Yarrowia lipolytica: one gene and its partners. The protein of the gene in region 1 purifies or fractionates together with the protein of each later gene. This does not show direct contact. Links are inferred from orthologs where the notes say so. Each region holds a gene or a part of one and is shown on either strand. Other genes may lie near its edges.

Evidence for each region. The genes of interacting proteins can lie anywhere in the genome.
Region 2: the proteins of YALI1_F27574g (region 1) and YALI1_B18613g purify together in Saccharomyces cerevisiae (affinity purification with mass spectrometry; 6 studies listed by BioGRID, with this or other methods). This does not show direct contact. The link is inferred for Yarrowia lipolytica from reciprocal best matches to the Saccharomyces cerevisiae genes BRR2 and LSM5.
Region 3: the proteins of YALI1_F27574g (region 1) and YALI1_E05664g purify together in Saccharomyces cerevisiae (affinity purification with mass spectrometry; 3 studies listed by BioGRID). This does not show direct contact. The link is inferred for Yarrowia lipolytica from reciprocal best matches to the Saccharomyces cerevisiae genes BRR2 and PRP46.

The regions. Positions count from the first base shown.
Region 1 is NC_090775.1:2,755,455-2,763,645, reverse strand, and holds the start of YALI1_F27574g (uncharacterized protein), read right to left. Parts: upstream 6,150-8,191; coding exon 6,115-6,149; intron 6,037-6,114; coding exon 1-6,036. Other genes in the region: YALI1_F27556g (uncharacterized protein), read right to left, coding at 6,522-7,616, 7,942-8,031.
Region 2 is NC_090771.1:1,859,420-1,862,119, reverse strand, and holds YALI1_B18613g (uncharacterized protein), read right to left. Parts: upstream 810-2,700; coding exon 543-809; downstream 1-542. Other genes in the region: YALI1_B18631g (uncharacterized protein), read left to right, coding at 1-38; YALI1_B18607g (uncharacterized protein), read left to right, coding at 1,396-2,019. UniProt on the Saccharomyces cerevisiae protein: Component of LSm protein complexes, which are involved in RNA processing and may function in a chaperone-like manner. Component of the cytoplasmic LSM1-LSM7 complex which is involved in mRNA degradation by activating the decapping step.
Region 3 is NC_090774.1:564,545-568,492, forward strand, and holds YALI1_E05664g (uncharacterized protein), read right to left. Parts: upstream 1,869-3,948; coding exon 543-1,868; downstream 1-542. Other genes in the region: YALI1_E05645g (uncharacterized protein), read right to left, coding at 1-4; YALI1_E05668g (uncharacterized protein), read left to right, coding at 2,300-3,196; YALI1_E05681g (uncharacterized protein), read left to right, coding at 3,606-3,948. UniProt on the Saccharomyces cerevisiae protein: Involved in pre-mRNA splicing. May also be required for cell cycle progression at G2/M.

The sequences.
Region 1 (8,191 bases):
TGGGGGAACAGGGGAGCAACCACCTCCAGATTAGCACGCTCATCCTCCTCGTACACATCTCTCTCCACAGTGACCTCGATGGTTCCGACATCGTTAGTAGCGTAAGAGTCAGCAAGCTCATAGCTGAGCTGAATACTTGGGTAGGCGTCCACAAAGTCAATGACACGCTTGAGTTGCTTCGCAGTAAAGTTGAGAATGCCCTTGAGCTTGTCCTCGTCCAGCTCGGAAATGTCTCCGACTGCCTCAACCCCCGCCCCCCTGAGATCGTCGATGATTTCGGGAGTGAAAAAAGGCACCTGTCGCAGAGGCGAATCAGACTCAAGAGTAGCTTGAACAACCATTTGGGACAGGTCCATTGCGTACATGCATGATTGATGGCCCTCAGAAGCCAGAAGATCAACAGAGGCAGCCAGCAGGGTAGGCAGCAGCTGGACAACCTCGGCCTGATCAGCAGTCAACTCCGAAGGGAGATTCAGCCGAGCAATATGACATTGAGCCAGCACAAAGGCCTTGAAAGCAGGAGTGAGAAGAACAGCAGAGTCCAGCTCGGGAAGCTTCCAGGGGATGTGGCCATAAAGACGTCTCAACAGAATGTCCTCGTGGTTTCGGATGGGAAGAGAGTCAAACTCAGCTGCAGTGGTGACAGCCTGCAAGATAGATCTATACTTACTCTTGGGAGAGAGGGCAGATGTGAGAGTAGCCATAGTATCGAAAGACACGTTGTAGTAGGATGCAATGGATGCAGCATTGAGAGGCTCCAATCCACCCTCGTCGTCCATCTCGACCATCTTTGCCTCAACAAGCTGTTCTACAGTAGTCTCAGCGAGCTCAGAAAGATAGACGTTGAGAGCATCATCTGATCGGTCAGGGACACCGTAGAAACCAGGATTGGCATGCAGGCGTCGGTACAGGTACGTGTAGGTTAACCAGGCCACAGTGTCATCCATGGACTCTATCACTTTCTCACAGATCTCTGCCAAAAGAGCATCATGTAGGGATGCTCCCAAGTTGGATTCCACAGGAAGAGAATCGTTGAGGAACCGCAGGTAGTAGTCCTTGGCAGCAGCGGGAGTCAGCACCAGGGCGTCGTTGGAAGCCTGTCCAATCATCTGCAAGACCGTAGAGATGGGGTAGTTGACGTATCGGTGCTCAGATCCCTCGTAGGTCTGGGTACCAAGAATGACACTCAGTTGAGAACGAGGCGAGGTCCAACATTCCTCACGGGTAGCAATGATTGTGGAGATGGACTGCTCAGCATACAGTGCCAACACAATCTTACGGTCTCTGGAAGACATGCTGGGGTAGAGGTGGCCAATACCGCTCTGAATGGCCTCCTTGAGAGTGTTGTCAGTCACCTGTGCCATAGCAAGCTCCAAATTGGAGTCCTCAGGAACAGGAGGCACCAGAACTTGCTCGTCCGCAATCGTGGAAAGACCAATGGTCACATCCACAAGAGTTCGACGAGAGTCCACAAAGATCACAGTCTGGGAGTGCTTGGGGGGAGCAAGCTCAAGAATGGCATTGTATGTAGGTCGAAGGAAAGCCTGCATGAGAGAAGGGTGATGAGGGATGGACAACGACTGAATGTGGATATTGGTAGGAGAAGCAGTCCAAGGTTTGAAGTTGTAGGGAGTGGCGTCAAGCCATCCAGCCATATCTACTCCATCGGCAACAGGAACACCCAGTCCGACAATTCTAAGAGGTCGTCCAGCACCACTCTCCTGCAACTGTACATCGATATATCTCATTCGAGAAACGACAGTCTCGTAGGTACCATCGCCGCCAACCAGATGCACGTCGTCGGCAATGAACAGGCTTACAGCTCTGACAGCAGCTCGCTTCTGCCACCGTCGAGACAAAGAATCCCACTGGTTAGGAGTGGCCAAAACCACATCGGAGGTGGCCAGCTTCCGTAAGTCAGCAGCAAGCTCACCAGACAGCTTTGAGAAGGTCTTTCCTCCATGAATCTCGTTCATTCGCTGACTCCAATCATCGTAGCGAGCATCAACTTGGGCTTGTGTGGGAGCCATGTACACAGTCTTGGCATCAGCATCTTCATTCCACAGTCTCAGTAGAGCCAGCTCGGCGAGAACAGTCTTACCAGACCCAGGAGGAGCTCCAACAAAGACGGAGCCGTCGCCCTCCACAAGAGGTCTGAACAGCTGCGATTGGATCTTGTTGAAGAAAGAAAAGTCGTAGAGCCCGGCGCAATCGGCTCGCTTTAGCTCAACAACAGGGACAGGCTGCAGATCAATAAGCTGAGTAGGGGCTGGGAACTTTCCTGGGAAGACAATGTTTCGCAAAGGCACAGCCAGACGAGCGTCGGCGTGCAACCATCTCTCGGAAGACAGAGTCACAAATAGATGAGGAGGTCGGGGGTCAGCAACAGTGACAGACACCTCAATTAAGTGAGTCTCAGTGGCGTAATCTCGCCGTAGGGTCCACGAGTCCGAGTAAAGAATCTTCTCACCGTCTCCGTCTTCCACAGTCAGAGCAAAGGGCTCGGAACCATGGTGAATAGAAACGTCCCACTCAAAACTGGGCTCCACCTCAATCTCCAGTCGCACGAGAGAGGCAGTAACGGGCAGTGCGCGAGCAGACAGCTTGAGCTGGGGGAACTTCTGAAGCATTCGGAACACAGGAGTGCCATATCGAGGAGTTCGGATAGCTTCTCCAACCTGTTCTGCATTCTCCAGCGATAAGTACCGCTTCCAAGGCATAGCAGAAGCCTCAATTTTCTTGGCAACCTCAGCAGGGCAGTCAGGAAACTGACGGAGAGGACAAGAGGATAGCCACAGACGCTGCTCAACCATCTTGCACACGTCAAGGGTAATTCGGGCTAGTCGAGCCCATTTCTTTCTCAGACAGAACTCATAGATGGCTCGGAACAGACGCTGGGCACTTTGGGTCACGTATATCATATCGGATACCAGTGCAAAGCCCTCGAGACTCAGTCGGGAAATGAAAGCCTGAAGAAGAACGTTGATCTTGGCAGTGGAGTCCTCAACGGACTCTCGAACAGGGATGGGTGCCGATTCCAGCAACTTTCCCAACTCTAGCTTCTCTTCTTGGCGAACTCCCACATATTTGAACTCCTCAGAGGCGGAGAACACCTGGAACAGCTCCACAATGGAGAAATGGGGCTTGAGAGAAATTCGGTATGTTCGCATAGACGAGTGAGTGATGTAGTAATGTGCAGCCACTCTACCGAGATCGTTGGCACGCACACGGCCAGTCTTGGTGTCGTAGATGACGAGACCAGACTTGGCCAGGTTGCTGAGAGCCGAATGAACGAGGTCGGCACGTCGGTTAGTAAGAGCGGCATCATCGGGATTAGATCCAACAAGGTATATACCAGGAGAAACAAGCATTCGGACGTAGAGGTAAGTATAACCTAGCCACTGAATACCATCACCCACCGAAGAAACTGTGCCACCGACAACCTCTGCGTTAAGAGAATCCTCCAGCCGTGACATAAGCTGAGACTCAATAGGGAGTTGTTGGTTCATCAGCGACAGATAGTAGTTGAGTTCCCCGTGGGTAGTAATGATGATACCTTCACCAGAGTCGTCGTATCGAGGTCGACCAGCACGACCAAGCATCTGGAGAACGTCCTGAGGAGACAGCTCGGTCCATTGACCCTTGGCAGGATTGTAAATTTGAGTACCCTTGATGATGACGGTATGTGCGGGAAGATTGACACCCCAAGCCAGAGTGGCAGTAGACACCAAAACACGGACATGTCCCTCAGCAAAGAGCTCCTCCGCAGCCTTACGGTCAACCTGTGCAAGACCAGCATGATGGGTAGCGAGACCAGTTCCGATGATCTCTTTCTGTGTGGCATCGAGTTCAGGATCTTGGGCACGCTCTGCAAGAGTTCGACGACTGCCATCAGAGGCACAAAAAAGAGGCAGCAGGCCCTCGTCCATGGCACGATCTCGCAGCATTCGAGCTGTCTTGGCGGTCTCCTTTCGGGAGTGCACAAAGACAATCACCTGGTGTCCAGCCTTGATGTTTTCAATCACTTTGTCGAAGCATGCGTCGTTCATGGCTGTGTATCGCTTGAAAGCTTTCTTCTCGGTGATACCAAGGAACCGCTGTCCCAGAGGACAAGGTCTAAAAGTGGAATCAAAGTAGAAAAGACCTGTCTCACCAACTCGAAGAAACGATGCGACATCCTTGAAGTTGGGAAGCGTGGCAGAGAGACCAACGATTCGAACAGGGTCTCCAGTCTGCTCTGACCGACGTGTTGTTCGCGCAACAATGCTTTCAAGGACAGGTCCTCGCTCATCATGCAGCAAATGAATCTCATCAATAACAATCAGTCTGACGAGGTTGGTGTAGCTGGAATCGGCAGCCTTTCGGGTGATGACATCCCATTTTTCCGGCGTGGTCACCAGCAGCTGAGTCTCTGCAATCTGCTGCTTAGTCAGATTATGATCACCAGTCAACTCGGACACTTTCAATCCCATGGAGTTGAGTCGCTTGCTGAACTCTCGGACCTGCTCCTGGACCAGAGCCTTGAGCGGGGCAATGTACACCATCTTGAAGTCATTGGTTCTAAAGCCTCCATTGGGAGCTCTGAAATGAGACAGGCACCGCAGCATGGCCAGGAATGCAACATTGGTCTTACCAGCACCGGTGGGTGCACAAATAAGCATGTTGTCGTCAGATTCGAATGCACAGGGGAACACCTTGCTCTGAATTCGATTGAGAGACTTGGTATCAGAAAAGCCAACATGTGTCCAAGAAGGCATATCAGCGATTGATACCACCTTCTCATTAGCATCAGGGATAGCTCTTTCAGGAGCAGGAATGACAAACTCTTCGTACTGACTGGTGCTGTGTTTTGTAGTGTTTGCTGGGAGCTTGACCTTCGAAGATGTCAGGAGTCTAGCACCCTGATCAAACACAAGTGACTGTGTATCAATGTATCTGGGAACGTAAGTCTGAGAAGCATCTTCTGTGACGTCCATATCCACATCTTCCGAAGTCTCCGTTTCACCGTGTAGCTCAGAGACGAGAGATGCCAGTCCCAAAGACGTCATCTGCTTCTTCACAGTGTCCTTCTCAGGTCCATCGGCTCGCTGAAGTCGTGTAATCCAAACAACGCGGTCTCTGTTATGACACAGCTTGGCGACAAAGTCGAGATGGTCGAAATCAAAGGCCTCAGACAGTTCGTTCTCAGTCTCACGCAGAGAAGACTCCCCGGCAAGAATATCAAACACCCGACGAGATAGATCAATACTCTCCTGTTGATCACCACCGACTAGGGATGCAATTTCACGTTGTAGCCAGAACGAGTCGATTTCTGTAGCAGGGATTACGTCTGAATCGGACTCCTTGGCAGCCTCCACAACAGTCTGCTCCACGTCCATATCTTCCTCATCCTCGCCCTCCCTCTGAGCAACAGGCACACGTCGAACGTAATCGCCGTCCATATCACTCAAATCCTCATCATCTTCGGAAAGGTCCATGGCGTCCTCGTCGTCGCTTCCGTCGAAAACCACAGCCACTCCGCTCTCTCCATCGTCAGCCATCTCCTCGTCCTGATTCTCAGCATAGTCAGTAAGACGAGCAGCCAAACTCATGGCCTGGTTGAAGTCCGTGTTGGATAGTTTTCCAACAATGCTCTCTATCTCCTTTTGCCGCTGCTTGTCCTGCAGCTTCTCGTCTCGTAGAGTAGCGATCAACTCGTCCGTAACAGCACAGATAGTCTCGTGTGATACATCCCCAAGAACACGCCCCGTCCATGCCATGAGCAGCTCAAACGCTTCACGAGTTTGAGGCATTTGTGGAGTGTACAAACCGCTGGAAGAGTAGACCGAAGTAGGCTTGGAAGTCATTCGTTCCTTGCGTGCCATCTTTTCCTGCTGTTGACGAACCCCAGCATCCGGAACCTCCCGTCGCACACCAGATCCCATATCCTTAACGTTGATCTTTCCCACTAAAGACTCGGGAATAGCCTTGTCTTCGCCACTCTCTCTGTTGATGTGCCTTCTATCGGCCTGCACCACAATAGAGGACATCTCCTCGCTGTAGTTAGTAAGTGATCCAGAATGGCGTTTGTCACACAAAGCCGAGTCATATCACACCATCCCCTCTAATACTCACTATTTGTAACGAGACATGTCATTGTTGTTCGACATGATGTGCTTGGTGTCGTGGGTGTTGCGTGAAGGATTTATTTCAGCGTAGATGTGCTTATTTTCTGAACCATATGCATAACAAGATGTTAAAATTGGGTGGTGAGCCCACAGTGCAGCAGGGTCAATTTACAAGTAGAATATACTGCAGATTCTACGACAGATGCTTGTACTAGCCCGAGTGCGTGCCTTCAAAAGGGCAAAAAATGATAAAATAAATGGGATAAATTCTTTCTCACTTACTATTCACCATGTTTCTCTCGCAACATTTTCCACAATCACTTCAAGCTCACCCAATCTATGTACTGTACTCCTGCTTTCTACTCATTCTCAGAAAACGACGGCTCGTACATTAGTAATTACATTCTACTCTACTTAGTTCTTAAAGTAGTAGTCCTCGGAAGGGATTCGGCCTCGGATCACAGGAGGCTCGGTGCCGGGAACGTAGATATCCTCAAACAGAACCTTGGCAGTAGCCTCGGGAGCAGGGTCGGACTCAGCAAGGGCAACCTCCTTGTCAACCATAGCTCGAGCAGCCTTGTCCACAGACTTAAGCTCGTCCTCAGTGGCGAAGTTAAGCTCCAGGATGTGGGCCTTGAGACCAGAAATAGGATCGTTGTGGGATCGCATGTACTGGATCTCCTCTCGGGTTCGGTAGGTGGTTCCGGGATCGGACATGGAGTGACCACCGTATCGGTAGGTCTCGAACTCCATGACGAGGGGACCCTTGCCGTGTGTGGTCCACTCCTTGGCGAACTTGGCTCCCTGGTAGACGGACAGAATGTCCATTCCGTTAACCTTGAGACCGGGAATGTACTGACCTCGCTTGTAGTACTGCGTCAGGGCAGAGGATCGAGCAGCAGCGGTACCCATTCCGTACTTGTTGTTCTCGCATGCAAAGATGCAGGGGAGGTCCCAGAGCTTGGCCATGTTGTAGGCCTCGAAGATCTGACCCTGGTTGGAAGCACCGTCACCGTACAGGGCAAAGGTGGCCTTTCCGGTCTGCTCGAGGTACTTGTGGGCGAAGGCGAGACCAGCTCCGACGGGGACCTGGGCTCCGACAATACCGTTTCCTCCGTAGAAACCCTCGGTGAACATGTGCATGGATCCACCCTTACCGTAGGAGACACCGGTTCGCTTTCCGAGCAGCTCGGCGATGATTGCTCGGACAGAGGCACCTCGCATGTAGGCGAAACCGTGGCATCGGTAGGCGGTGATGACAGAATCGTCGTGGTCGATGGCCTTCTCGATACCGACGGCAACAGCCTCCTGACCAGTAGACAGATGGCAGAAACCTCGGATCTTCTTGGCCTTGTAGAGGGCATCAGCAGCCATCTCGAGTCGTCGGACGGTCACCATGTCCTTGTACATTTGCAGAAGCTCACCCTTGGTCATCTCGAACTCGAGAGGAGGGGGAGAATCAAGCATGTAGGTGGTGTAAGAATCCTCCTTGAGCGTGATTGTGCATTTCTGGGGTTAGTATACGGTCGATTGAAGCTGTTTTGCCACGTTTTGTGATGGATTGCTGGTGGGTGAGGAATAATTTTTCCGGGTGCATGCGTTCCTAGAGGTTCGATTTTCTCTAGGCCCGTTTCTCATTAACAATCTCAGCAGCGTCAACGAGACGCCACCGCCAGGGGTAATGGCATCCGTAGAATCATTTCCGAGGGGTCCCGCGTCGATGGCATGTCTGTGTCGTCCGTTTCGTCGTGTTTCGTGAGGCGTATGTTTCGGAAAAACTCCCTGTAACCCAAATCCACGACACCCCAACGCAATGGGCGAAAAAAATACTCACCTTGTCGGCATCGTCAGCGATGGAGTATGCTCGGACCTGGTGGCCGAGTCGGCTGGTGAGCCGTGTAGATCGTCGAGCGGCAGTGAGCATGGTCAATTGTCTTGTTTTCACACGGACTGGATTGAGAAAAGCGCCACTTGGATGAAGTTGCAGGTTCTATCTGTGTGTTGTCAAGTGAGGAGAGTCAATTTTAGGTCTGCTATGGGCACCACCACAACCCACTAATCGCTCACACCGGAGAAATGTCCCA
Region 2 (2,700 bases), on another chromosome or scaffold:
TCAGTGATGTCAATACTGCAATTCTGGATAAGAAGTGAACACAGAATGATAGGAACCCAAATTGACGACAGATCAGACATCAACAGTAGGTACTTTACAATGTATTTTTATTCTCTGTATGTATGAAAAGATTGCGACTCCTTAGTAAAGATAGCTTGATCTCTTTGCGAACTATCAGTTACTTGTATGATCTCGTTCATAAACCAGAGCCTAGTTAATCTGATCTCACCTGCTATGTGGAGTGAGATTCTAAGCAAGCTACAAGAGTGTTGAAAGGAAGCAGCCTGCATCTCTGGCACTGCGCATTGTTCCACAGCAACTCAGTTCCTCGAATCAAACCCCCATACTATACACCTGATCTCGGTCCAGCTTCGCCACTACAATCCAGCCTATCAAGCTTACCACGCCATCAAACCACCACCACGACATCGTAGCAACCACCATAATCCAATCATCCAATATCATTATCCTATAATACACTTAAAGTCCTCCAGGGACAAGCTGTGTTAGTTAATCTTCTCGTGACTTCCTTCCCTATCTGATCAGCCATAAATATCCCCAACTTCACTCACCATGTAGATGCTCTTTCCACTCAACAACAGCTTGCTGTGATTGGTCTCCTTGCCAGTTTTTGTGTTGACCTCGGTCACGTCCTCCAGCACCATGTTGACGAAATCGTCGAATCCGACCAGAGTGCCAGTGAACTCGACCTTGGACTTGACCAGCACCAGAATCTTGGATCCTATGCACTTGTCGACCAGCTCCAGAGGCAGAATTTGCGATACCTGGGGCTCAGCTTGCTCGCTCATTGTGTGTGATGTTGTGTGTTCGGAGACTGTTGTTTGATGCTGGTGTGGTTTTTGATTAAAGTGTTGTGCATGGCTTATGGTCACGTGATCAGAGGGGTACAGTCGACACGGAACGATAAAAGGTGGACTTCGAGTTTGGGCAGGATAACAGACCAAAATACCCACAGATATATATTTTTTCTGTAATATTTACCCCTCTAGACACTCTAACGTCAAAAGCCAAGCTCTCTCCATTGTGTTTATCAATCTGTTGTGTTTCCACCCTCTTGCTCTCGTGCCTATTAACTCTCTATTCTGACGTACATCCAGCAGCAGAGGTGACTAAACACAGAAATCACGTTAGCTTTGGTGACAGTAAAAAAGCCTGGGAGTATATATATGAACCCTTAAGCTGTTTCCCCTCAAAAAATCACACCCTTGCATACTCTGGGACGCTTTCTGAGCACTGTCATCTCACGCTACACCAACTTCACCATCCCGCATCTCCTCAACCTTGTTTGGGTTTCGATTTTCCTTCTCGCTGGCAAGCCCACACTCCAATACATCATAACACCATCCAAATCACCGTTCGCACAAAACGCATCAAATGACTAAAACGCTCCCCCCACACTCGGCCATCCGACCTCTGGCAGTACAGGATGTGGATGCCATTGTCGAGGTCTCAGATAAGGCCTTCCCTCCGGACCAGTCAGCGACGAGAGAAAAGGTGCTGTATCGACTCCAGGCATGCCCCGAGCTGTGTCTGGGTCTATTTATCAGAAGTTACGACGCCAAGGACAAAGCCAAGAACAGCGACGGTGAGGACGACCAGCTGCCTCATCCTACAACCTCTGTGATTAGCGAGAAGCTGGTGGCGGTGATTCTGGCCACAAAGATGCGGTCAGACCTGATCACCAAGGGCTCCATGGGCATCCCGGAGGGCCCTGACGACGAGGAGAACGGACACAAGGAGGACGGAAACACCGTGGGCGTCCATGCTGTTTGTGTGGACCCCGAGTACCAGGGCAAGTCCATCGGATCGATCCTGATGAATGACTATGTGCAGCGAATCTCCACCAACGGCGTGGCCAGCCGAATCGCGCTCATTGCCACAGACGAGAACGCACCCTTCTACGAGAAGCTGGGGTTCACCAATCAGGGCAAGAGCGATTGCAAATACCCTCCCGGTGTTGTGTGGAATGATCTGTACTTTGATCTGTCGTACAACTAAGGAGATTGACCAAGGAGGAACTGAAATGAAGGGCATGGTTTTGGCATGACGTTTTTACCCGTGGAAGGACGACGTGAGTCTGGCATCCATTAATTCGGTCAGAGAAATGTATGGCACACAACAACTCATTCTGACCTTACATATTATAAGTTATGATATTCATGATAAGAGCGGTAGTTTTCGTCGGCGGTTTGGTTTTGTGTGGTGTCTAGGGAACACTGACAGGTCTGGGGCGCGTTAATACAATTAGTGTGCGTGTTGAACCGTTTTCTCGTTGGGTGTATAGGCGATATATTGCTCTTGTGGACAAACCATTATTATGAGCGAGGTGACGATGGTCGTGTGTTAATTACCCTACAGCGCGGAAGTGCTGCACATACGTAATACTGGACTGACCGCTTAAGCGAGGCAGAGAATCATGTATACGGCAGCACCTTTAACATCCAGTGGCTTCTGCGCTATCTTATCATATCGTGGCTTTCTACTGGAGTATATATATAATTATAACAATCTTGTGTTAGTTCCTTGTAGTGTGTTACGGGTATTAGCTTCGTTTAGGCAACCCATAAATCGACTGATCGAAATACGAGCCAATAAGAAAAAACAGTAGCGATGTGCACATCAGAGAATCGGGGAAAGAAAAAATGTAAGTGCTTGTGGCAAGTAATTTGAAGAAATGAA
Region 3 (3,948 bases), on another chromosome or scaffold:
CCATCTTTGGAGGTGTTGTGAGCGACAGTAAACTGCCTGGGTGTTATATAGCTTCGTCGCGCTATTGCTCGTTGATGTTCGGGTGGCGACAAAATTTTGATAAACTGAAAATAGTTATGGTCACGTGATGTTGGGAGATGAGTACAGCCACCTTAATAGAGACAGGAATGTGCCAGTTACTGTAGGGGGGAATTTACGAAATATCGTCTTGTTATATGATATTATTCAGTTATTAAATCTGCGATTATATTGGTGAAACACACATATATCCAACTGTACAAGTACAATGTACATGTAGTTGTTATTTCATTTTTATTTGGAGACCATCCATTTTTATGTTTCCGGAAAAAAATGAAAATTGTATAAGTATGGTTCTGGAATTGGGTCCATATACTGTGCCTGTATTGGTACCACTGGCCTACAAGTAGAGCGAAGGCTGAAAAGGAGGGAAAGCAAAACAAAAGAATGACAACGCCAACCAATACAATTGTACTTGTAACTAAAAATACATTAAATATGCGAAATTCTGATACACCATCCCTCTAATAGGTCTGGTATATCTTGGGTTTCCATTCGAGACCGGGATCACTTTCTGCTGTGGCATTGGGCTTCTCGCGCCACATTTTGATGCTCTTGTCAGCCTCACAGGTGATGAGGCGAAGACCAGTCTTGTCGAAACTGGAGTCGAAAATACCGTTTTCACTCTCGATAGATCCTGGGATGGGAATAGACTGGGTGCTCTGGAACATATGTCCAGTCTTCCAGTCATAAAAGCCAATAGAGCCGTTGTCGCCTCCCGAAAACATGACGTTGTCTTGGTTAACGGACAGGGTATTGATGATAGCGTTCTGGTCGTCGTAGTTGAGCACTAGATCGCCCTCGGGACACTTCCATTGCTTACTGGAGTTAGCAGAGGCCGTGGAGAAAGTGAACTCCTCGGGATGTAAAGTGAGGCCTCGCACACTCTTCTTGTGATGCGTGAGCGTTGTCATGGTCTTCCCGGCCTGTAGGTTCCACAGTCGCACAGTCTCATCTGCCGAAGCTGTAATCACCTGGGGTTCAGAGGCCTGGAACTTGACTCTGTTGATAGTCGACTTGTGTCCACTGAGAACAACCACAGGGTCACGAGTACGAATGTCCCACACACGGGCCACAGCGTCTCGACCAGCAGACACTAGGACATCCAGAGTAGGATGAATGTCCAGCGAGTAGACTGCAGAGAGATGGCCATGGTAGTGTCGAACGACCTTGTTAGTTTCCAGATCCCAACACTTGACCATCTTGTCTTCACCTCCCGAAAACATGTAAGGATGTCGTGGCGACACTCCCAATGCTCTAACACCCATAATGTGTCCTGTGAGAGTCAGTCGCAATTTTCCTGTAGCCAGATCCCAGATCTTGATAGTCTTGTCTGCAGAACCTGTAGCAAACCACTGGTTCTCTGGTTCAACACAAACAGATCTCACCCAGCCCTGATGGCCTGTAATGACTCTGTAGATCTCCCATGGTGCGTGCCACGCCGGTTTCGACTGTGTAAGGTTGGCTCCGAGATTAGTGAGACTGTCGTGTGTAGTTGGTTGGCTTGCAGAGGGCGTGTGTTTCGTGAGTGCCGAGGAAGAAGCTCCCATCAGAGCCTTCTGGCCGCTCTGAGATCCTCCTGCGATTCGCTGGACTGCCACACCTCCTGTGGCTTCCACTGCCAAACCCTTCTCTGCCATTTTGGCAGCCACCTGCTTTGCTAGGTATGGTGGAAGTTCGAGGTTCTGGAACTCCCTGAGTTTTTGAGCACGTCGGATATTTCGAGAGGGTTCATTTTCGCCGGTCGCGAGAGTACCATACTCTGGAAACAGGTCTTTGGCGACAGGCATGTGTGGATTACAAGTTCCTTGTAGTCTCTGATTATGACGGCTGAAATGTTCATGCAAGTTATTCAGATAGCCTTGTACAGGTTATGAGTGGTGTGAGCAGGGGAACAAGTTGGAAACTGGATAAACGAAATATGATTGGCCAGATTCAACTCTGCTTCAAAAATGAAACAATTCTTCTTTCACACTCCAGATATTACTCCCCCTGAGCCTCGTTTTCGGTTACTGTAACCCTCCCCTAATTATCGTTGTGCTCTTGAACTGGGAGGCGTCCACATAAACTTTTACACCATTTCCTCTTTCTCCCCACCGCAACCATGTCCAACAGATTATTGGGAGTCCTTACAAGTGAGTATTGAAAGGCTGGAAAGGGAAGATGAGTCCATACATAAGTTCAATGTGCCATTGCGAATATCCTGACACCAAACAATGGCATGTTTGCCAACTTGGCGTGGGGGTGCCGCACCGCACATCCACAGCAACACGCAATCTCGAGACCCCATACTAACCCAGCCATCGCCATTCCTGTCGGTGTTGGCATCACCTTGATGCAGTCCGCCATGTACGACGTTCGTGGTGGCTACCGAGCTGTCATCTTCGACCGTCTTGCCGGTGTCAAGCAGAACGTGATCGGAGAGGGAACCCACTTCCTCGTTCCCTGGCTCCAGAAGGACATTATCTTCGATGTCCGAACCAAGCCCCGAAACATCGCCACCACCACCGGATCCAAGGATCTGCAGATGGTTTCTCTGACCCTGCGAGTTCTGCACCGACCCGTCATTTCCCAGCTTCCCCACATCTACCAGTCTCTTGGTCTCGACTACGACGAGCGAGTCCTGCCCTCCATTGGTAACGAGGTGCTCAAGTCTATTGTCGCTCAATTCGATGCCGCCGAGCTCATTACCCAGCGAGAGGTTGTTTCCGCCCGAATTCGAGAGGATCTTGTCAAGCGAGCCGGTGAGTTCAACATTGCCCTCGAGGATGTCTCCATTACCCACATGACCTTCGGAAAGGAGTTCACCAAGGCCGTTGAGCAGAAGCAAATTGCCCAGCAGGATGCCGAGCGAGCCCGATTCATCGTCGAGAAGGCCGAGCAGGAGCGACAAGCCGCCGTTATCCGAGCTGAGGGAGAAGCCGAGTCCGCCGAGGCCATTTCCAAGGCTCTTGAGAAGGCCGGTGATGGTCTGCTCTTGATTCGACGAATCGAGGCCTCCAAGGAGATTGCCACCACTCTTGCCCAGTCCAACAACGTCACTTACCTGCCCAAGGGAGGCAACGGATCCAATGGCGCTTCCTCTGGCAACTCTCTTCTTCTCAACGTCGGAAGATAATTGTATATAGATATTTTGTAACTAAACTTGACACACTGAATGATAGGTTTTGATGATTTCGATGCAAGTACAAGTAGCGCCACTGGTACTCGTAGTGTAGCGATAGCGTGTCCAGATGTTGGTTATAATATTTGTGGTCGTGGAACACCAGACTTTATGAAGTGCATTCGTACCATAAAGCTACAACTATGAAAGAATATTAATAATAATTGGGAGCCTGACAAAAGAGTCCCTTTGCAATATAGGAATATTGACTCTACGATACTCCTGTCTCTTGTACCGTTTGTTGTGTTGTCCACATTGTCCACCCCAGCTGCTTCACTCACTCACACCATGAAAGTTCGAAAATGCAGGACAGGAATAATTATTTCTGGGTGTCGTCTGGGAGTCTGACACAACACCATACGTCATGTTATCGGTATATGCTGACCAGCACCGGGAGGCGCCGTTCCCGAAAAAGGCATACAAAGCTGAGCTTCAAAAAACTACGGAAAACGCAGGACTAGGCCTACAGGTGTCCGAATTCCTGAGCGAGGCTGAGATCATCCACTCGCTCTATTACCGGTACCGAAATGCCCACCATTGCGCCGAATGGTTCAGGCCTTTCTCGATGTTACATCGACGGGTATCCCAGGTTGCAAACTGGATTGTTGACTTGCACAAAGCCACCAAGAAGCGTGCTCCTCGACTGATCACTGCTATCAAGATATCGATCCAGAAGATCCAGACCAGGTACCTCCAGCCTGCCTTTT